Cricetulus griseus: one gene and its partner. The protein of the gene in region 1 purifies or fractionates together with the protein of each later gene. This does not show direct contact. Links are inferred from orthologs where the notes say so. Each region holds a gene or a part of one and is shown in the gene's direction. Other genes may lie near its edges.

Evidence for each region. Proteins that work in one complex are often made in the same cells at the same time.
Region 2: the proteins of melanoma inhibitory activity protein 2 (region 1) and Preb purify together in Homo sapiens (affinity purification with western blotting; 3 studies listed by BioGRID and IntAct, with this or other methods). This does not show direct contact. The link is inferred for Cricetulus griseus from reciprocal best matches to the Homo sapiens genes MIA2 and PREB.

The regions. Positions count from the first base shown.
Region 1 is NC_048598.1:143,446,724-143,450,471, reverse strand, and holds the start of melanoma inhibitory activity protein 2, read left to right. Parts: upstream 1-1,257; 5' UTR 1,258-1,272; coding exon 1,273-1,387; intron 1,388-3,748. UniProt on the Homo sapiens protein: Plays a role in the transport of cargos that are too large to fit into COPII-coated vesicles and require specific mechanisms to be incorporated into membrane-bound carriers and exported from the endoplasmic reticulum.
Region 2 is NC_048600.1:13,417,642-13,421,332, forward strand, and holds the start of Preb (prolactin regulatory element-binding protein), read left to right. Parts: upstream 1-775; 5' UTR 776-965; coding exon 966-1,100; intron 1,101-1,667; coding exon 1,668-1,857; intron 1,858-2,290; coding exon 2,291-2,511; intron 2,512-2,683; coding exon 2,684-2,764; intron 2,765-2,876; coding exon 2,877-3,001; intron 3,002-3,161; coding exon 3,162-3,335; intron 3,336-3,480; coding exon 3,481-3,553; intron 3,554-3,691.

The DNA.
Region 1 (3,748 bases):
ACTATGAAATGCTCTGTTGCAAGCCAACTGACCCTCAAGTGAATGTTTGATTGGCTTTTTTTTTGGAAATGTACAAACCTTATCTCGGAGAGAGCAGATTTCCAAGGGTAAACAAACCAGCAAGCAATCGTATTTCTGTTCTAGGACTTTGGAAGCAAAGGTACTTTAGCTTGTTGGGGGTGGTGGGGGGATGGATATGTGTCGATTCTGTCCGGCACCAGAGTGCAGTGTGCTTTGGGGACCCGGGGACCTTCAGATCTAGTCCCTTACGCAAAATTTCCCAATATAGGACTTTGATCTTTTAAAGCAACAACAACATTCAAATAACTCGATGTTCATAACTTACTTTTAAATGACTTATGCTCACTATGAAGGAGAATACATTCTGAAATCACATTTCTACCTACAGGGAGCCTCCTTCCACTTTCAGAAATACACGTGTAATCTTTGACTTTGTTTGTTTGTTTGTTTTTCAAGCCAGGGTTTCTCTGTGGCTTTGGAGGCTGTTCTGGAACTAGCTCTTGTAGACCAGGCTGGTCTCGAACTCACAGAGATCCGCCTGCCTCTGCCTCCCGAGTGCTGGGATTTTAAAATTACATTTCTTATTTACACACACTCCTCTCTGCCAGTCTCTCTCTCTCTCTCTCTCTCTCTCTCTCTCTCTCTCTCTCTCTCTCTCTCTCCCTCCCTCCCTCCCTCCCTCCCTCTCTTTCTCTCATGTGTGTATGAATCCGTTCTGCCCTTCTATCCAGGCAATAGTAAACTCAGGTCATCAGCCTTCACGGTGAATGCTTTTATTCACTGCCTTATTCACTCATTTTCTGGCTCTATACCTTCTCTTTTGAAGTTAGAATGTGCATGCAGTAAATATTTGGTTTTGTACATGCTGACTGACCTGCCTGAAGACAATGGTAGAGATTAACTACCTTTCTGTGGCAGCTTTAAAAGCTGTGGTGCCGAGCAAAGGTGCCTTCAAGTGAGTCAGTTTCACATGGGGCTACTTTATAAAACATTAGTCCAACTAAAAATCCCTGTTAATTATTAAGCCCTTCTGTATTATCTGGCTAACTGACACTGCAGGTTGAGACCAGAGAGTGTTAATTCCTGAAGCTACCAGTACACCGACAAGAAAATGTAACTACGGAGGAACTGAAAATTACTCAATCTCTTCCTCTTGTACAAACGAAGAGAGTATCTGCTGTTTTGCTGGCATGTCTGTGACCTAACAAGCATTTTAATGCTTGTTTAGGATTCCTGGTGTCTTGTTTAACCATGGTGGAAATTAGTGTTCGAAGAATCCTTCTTTTGGTTGTTTCTCTGGCCAAGTGTCTGGAAGGTACAAAGCTGCTGGCTCACCTCAAAAAGTGTGGTGACTTGGAATGTGAAAGTAAGTTTTCTTCTTCGTTTTCACACTGAGTTCTGAAATTACATTAAATGTTACTGTGAGCCTGTATGATGAAATCAACAATAATAATATTGAGAAATAGTTGAATTATAAACTATAGTTTGATATGAAAAAGGAATTCTAGAAGCAAAATATTTTGTGATAGCATTATTATAAATTTAACATAGAAGACAAAAATAAGACTCGTATAGAAATATGTCAGAAATGGTATTAATCCATGTATCAAAAACTAAATAAAAACTTTTTTTTTTAAAAGATAATTGAGTTGTTTAAGAAGATATCAGGCAGTTTGGTAATTCACTATTTATAAAATTTCTACATTTTAGTTCCTATTTCACAATCAGGACTTTCTGATTCTCATGAGTTTCCCTGAAAATGTTTTTATTTCAAACATCATGATCTAGTTGTCTAAATTTTATCAAATGCTAATCATTTGTGTTAATTTATTATATAAAAATGTTAAAATAAGTGTTCTAATATAGATATATATGATTTATAACATTCAATATTAAATGCTCTTGCATTTCTATGATGAGAAATTAATTTCTACTTTGTTGTTTAAGAACTTACATTTAAAATTTTTGCCGGGCGTTGGTGGCCTTTAATCCCAGCACTCTGGAGGCAGAGGCAGGCAGATCTCTGTGAGTTCGAGGCCAGCCTGGTCTCCAGAGTGAGTGCCAGGATAGTCTCCAAAGCTACACAGAGAAACCCTGTCTTGAAAAACCAATAAATAATAAATAAATAAATAAATAAATAAATTTTTATTTTGTATATGGGTATTTTGCCTACAGGTATGTATGTATGTATGTATGCATGTATGTATGTATGTATGCAGGTATTATACAATATATGTGCCTAGTGCTCACGGAATTCAAAAGAGGGTATTGGATTCCCGGGCACTTGAATTACAGACAGTTATGAATTACATGGCAGTTATGACCTGCCATGTGGCTGCAAGAGCAGTATGTACTCTTAACCACTCATCATCTCTCCAGCTCCAAGAACTTAATTTTTTCTTATCCACACGATGATGCAGAATAACGTTATCCTGCTGAGTACAGTGGCACACATCTTTAGCCCCAGCAATCAGGAGGCAGAATCCGGCAGATCTCTAGTCCCAGGCCAGCTTGATCTACATAGAGAGTTCTTCATTTCAAAATAAAAGAATAACAAAAAACAGAGAAGGAAAATATTGTATCTTTATCTTAGATGTTGAAAATAACTTTTGTCTTTCCCACATGAAAGCTATTTCTAATTTTGCAAAAAATGTAAATTAAAATACAAAGTATAATCATATAAAACAAAAAATTGCCAACAGATATACAGGAAAGATCTACTTACCTTTATTCTATGTGTATCAGTGTTTTGCCTGCATGCATGTAAAGGCACTGGGTGTGTGCTTGGTTCCCTCAGAGGCCAGAGAAAGTACTGAATCCACTGGCTGGAGTCACAGATGGACAGCCACAATTTGGGTGCTGGGAACTGAACCCAGGTGCTCTAGGAGAGCAGCCAGTGCTCCCATTTTCTCAGCCATGTCTCCAGCCCCAGTCATTTTTTTTTCCCCCAAGACAGGGTTTCTTTGTGTAGCCTTGGCTGTCCTGAAACTCACACTGTAGATCAGGCTGACGTCTAACTCAGAGACCCACCTGCTTCTGCCTCCCAAGTACTGGGGTTAAAGGCCTGAGCCACCACTGCCTGGCCCGTTAGTAATATTTTTATGAATAAAAAATTTTGTAGCCTTTCTCAGAAGTCATTTGAAACATGCTCACAACATCTTTCTTTTCTTTTCCTTCCCTCCTTCCTTCCTTCCCTTTTTCCTTGTTTTGTTTTTTGGAGACAGTTTCTATACATAGTCATGGGTGTCCTGGAACTCTCTGTGTACACCAGGTTGGCCTTAAACTCACAGAGATCTGCCTGTATCTGCCTCCCAAGTTGCCGGGATTAAAGGGTTGCATCTCCAGTCCCTACCAACTACATGGCATTTCATAATAAAGGCCCTTTAATTTTTCTCTAATAACTGCGTGCTACATTTAATAATGTTTTTATTTATCCTTTGGCAAATTTCATCCATTTATACAATGTGCTTTTGATCAAGTCTACCCCATATCTCATTTCCAACTCCTCCTGCAGCCTCTGCAACATCCTCTCTCCAAATTCTCTTTTTTGATTTTAAAAAGAAAGTTCTTAAAAATTTATCCATTTTATTTTATGTGTGAGTGTTTTGTCTGCATGTATTTCTGCATACCACTTGCATGCCTGGTGCTGACAGAGGTCAGAGGAGGGCATGAAACCCCCTGGAACTGGCGTTACAGATCCTTGAGAACCACCACGTGTTCCATACCA
Region 2 (3,691 bases), on another chromosome or scaffold:
TCTGGGGGAGGGGCCGTCATTTGGCGGGCTTTCTGAGTTGCGGCGGGGTTTGGAGGGAGATAGGGAAGGGGGCTTGGGTGGAACCTCCACCATGGTAGCGGGGATTGGCGGGGGGGAGGGGGACTGGAGAGATGGCTGAGGGGTTAAGAGCCCTGGCTGCTCTTCCAAAGGATTCGGGTTCAATTCTCAGCACCCACATGGCAACTCACGACTGTAACCCGAGTTCCAGTGGGCACCTGCAAGAAGCACGCACGCGGGAGAGGCGGGGAGAAAGGAGGGAACAATCTTTAAAAGGGCGGGGGTGAGATACCAGGCACAGATCAACACAGAATACACCTGTCGGGGAGCCACTGTCACCCGTAACTTCTCTGTTGCAGAGCTGGGTGTCAATCCGCGGCGGAGGGAGCGATTTCTTTATATTAGGATTATTAGAACGCGGTGAATATGATTTGAAGCCTCGCTGTGCCCAGGGAGAAAACACTTCCTCTCCGGAGTAACACGTAAAGGTCCTCTCTTCTACGAGTCCGTGCAGCATCTCCGGAGGTGGGGACCGCCCCAATTGGAGAACTTATTAATTCAAAGTTTACTGTTCTTCAGTAATCTCTTACAGCCCCACGTCCCACGCCCCACACAAAGATGGCAGATCGGCCGTCATTCGGGTCGAGGAACCGGATCCGCTGCCAGGGTTCCGTGGCAGCGCGTCCCGCTAGTGCTGACGCGGATTGGCGTCCTGCGCTTGCGCGGAGAGAGCCGAGGAGCGCTGCGCGTGCGCACTGCGCGTCAGTGAGCTCCAGCCGCGCGAGCGCAGATCGGATACCTGCGGTGGTTTGAGGGGTGGCGAGCCCGCGGGGCTGAGCGGGGTCCTCAGGCTTCCCGGCGACGGCGGTACCAAGTTCGGCAGCGGTCGAAGGCAGGGCGCGGCATGTCGTGGGTTCCGCGGGGCTGGCAGTGAACGCGCGTGCGGGATGGGCAGGCGCCGGGGTGTGGAGCTGTACCGGGCCCCGTTCCCGTTGTACGCGCTCCAGGTGGACCCCAAGAACGGGCTGCTCATTGCTGCGGGCGGAGGAGGAGCCGCCAAGACCGGCATCAAGAATGGTGTGGTGAGAACTCTGGGCAACTGGGAACGGGTCGTGCTGTGCCGTGCCGTGGCGTGCCGTGCCCGAGGGCGATTCTGGGGTGACGGGGGCGGGGCGGAGGGGATGCAGGGCTGAGTCGTACCCCTACTTTAAGCCCTGCCTGTTTCTAGTGGGAAAACCCGGCGTAGACGCCTGGGTGCTGGTTTCACCTTAGAAGAGTGGTTAAGGCGTCCAAATAACAGCCTGGAAACTGTGCGGGTCTGCGAAGGCAGGACCGCGGGAGCTGGTCCAGGGCTGCTTTTCTGGCCTTTTCCAGGAAGGCACACTGTCTTATGTGCCTTCAAGCAGCTCGAGCCTGGATTCCTTGCTTTCTGTAAACTGGATTTAGTAATCTAAGCCCTACTTGCTGTACTAATTGGAGAGCTCCAATAAGAAAATAAAGCTCTAACAACAGCAACAACAACAAACCCCATGAGATGGAGGCGCGGGAAGCCAAGGGATACAACTAAGACAGGACTTAAACGACTAAGTCTAGGACTTGATGTGACTTCCGGGCTCGCCTGAACTTTGCCCACGTTGGTTCCCTCCCAGCACTTTCTGCAGCTAGAGCAAATCAATGGCTGCCTGAGCGCCTCCTTGCTACACTCTCATGACACAGAGACACGGGCCACTATGAACTTGGCACTGGCTGGTGACATCCTTGCTGCCGGACAGGATGCCCGATGTCAGCTTCTACGTTTTCATGTCCATCAACAGAAGCGCAATAAAACAGAGAAGTCAGGTGAGGAGCGTTGGAAAAATCACTCTAATCGTGGTCTCTAAAGAGGAGAGATTAGGTGTAGGGTCTCAGTAGCGCCAAAACACTCTCCGTACTGTCAGTACAGAAGGACTAATACTAGTTAATACAGAAGCCTGGATTCTGCTAGGTTGTGGTGGTGCAATCTCCTTTCTTAGGAGTGGAGGCAAGAGGATATTTAGAGCTAGCTTGGGGAACATAGTAAGTTCTGTCACTGTCTTTAAAAAGCAACAACCACAATAACAAGAAACCCCAAAGAAATCAGCACTTGGGAGGCAGAGGCAGGCAGATCTCTGTGAATTTGAGGCCAGCCTGGTCTACAAAGCGAGTTCCAGGACAGCCAGGACTGTTACAAAGAGAGACCCTGTCTTGAAAAACAAAACAAATGAAGTCTGGACCCTGGAAAATTGTGTTGTAGGTTCCAAGGAGCAGGGACCTCGACAAAGGAAGGGGGCAGCTCCAGCAGAGAAGAAATCTGGAGCAGAAGTACACCCTGAAGGGGTAGAACTCAAAGTAAAAAATTTGGAGGCAGTACAGACAGACTTTAGCACTGAACCACTGCAGAAAGTTGTGTGCTTCAACCACGATAATACCCTGCTTGCTACTGGAGGGACTGATGGCCATGTTCGTGTCTGGAAGGTATGGTTTTAGGGGCCTAAGGGAGAGGGAAGTCAGTTGCAATAACTCCAAAACTGTGAGAGACTGAATATGCACTCTGGGAAACTTATGAGTGGCCATTGGGGTAAGAGAGATGGAGATTGCAGTTTTCTTGCTACGTCTGGTCTAAACTGTGATGCTGGCTTGGCTGTAGGTACCTAGCCTGGAGAAAGTTCTGGATTTCAAAGCACATGAAGGAGAGATTGGAGATTTGGCTTTGGGTCCTGATGGCAAGGTAAGGAGGTGGGGGTATGGGGTACTGGTACAGAAAAGGGGGGCTCTTGTGCTGCTTGCCTCATAAGTAGATGTCCTAACTGTCCATATTTGGAATCTTTACCCCTGCCCAGTTGGTGACTGTAGGCTGGGACTTAAAGGCCTCTGTGTGGCAGAAGGAGCAACTAGTGACACAGCTACAGTGGCAAGAGAATGGACCCGCCTCTTCTGACACACCATACCGCTACCAGGCCTGCAGGTATGAAGGTCACAGAGCATGGCTGGAAGAGACACACCCCAGCTGTAGTGGGGAAGTGGGAAGAGACTGAGGGGAACTGGGGGTGGCTGTAGCCATGTTGGAGGTGGTTTCAAGTGTGACCAGGATATAGGAAGGCACAAACCTTTTGCCCGGCTTCCAGGTTTGGGAAGGTTCCAGATCAACCTGGGGGGCTGCGACTCTTCACAGTGCAGATCCCCCACAAGCGCCTGCGTCAGCCCCCACCCTGCTACCTCACAGCCTGGGACAGTTCCACATTCTTGCCTCTTCGGACCAGGCCCTGTGGCCATGAAGTCATCTCCTGCCTCAGTGTCAGGTGTGAGATATTGTTGCTTAACTGGAAAGGAGGGTGCTTGAGGGAGCTCAGGAGTGAGTCCTGACTCAGTCTCTTGAGGACCACTGTTGGGTGAGAAGGTTTCTGCATAAGCTTCCAGAACAACGAATACTCTTATTTGTTACAGTGAATCCGGTACCTTCCTAGGCTTAGGCACGGTCACTGGCTCTGTCGCCATCTATATAGCTTTCTCTCTCCAGGTAATGAGTAGAGGTTGGCACAAACCCTATGGGGGATGGAGGGTGGGGAGCTGCAGGCTTACTCTACCCTGAGTGTATAGGAAGGAGTCTGGCCCAGTCCATGGGCCAGGAAGGCTGCTGGGGCTGTGGAACATATGT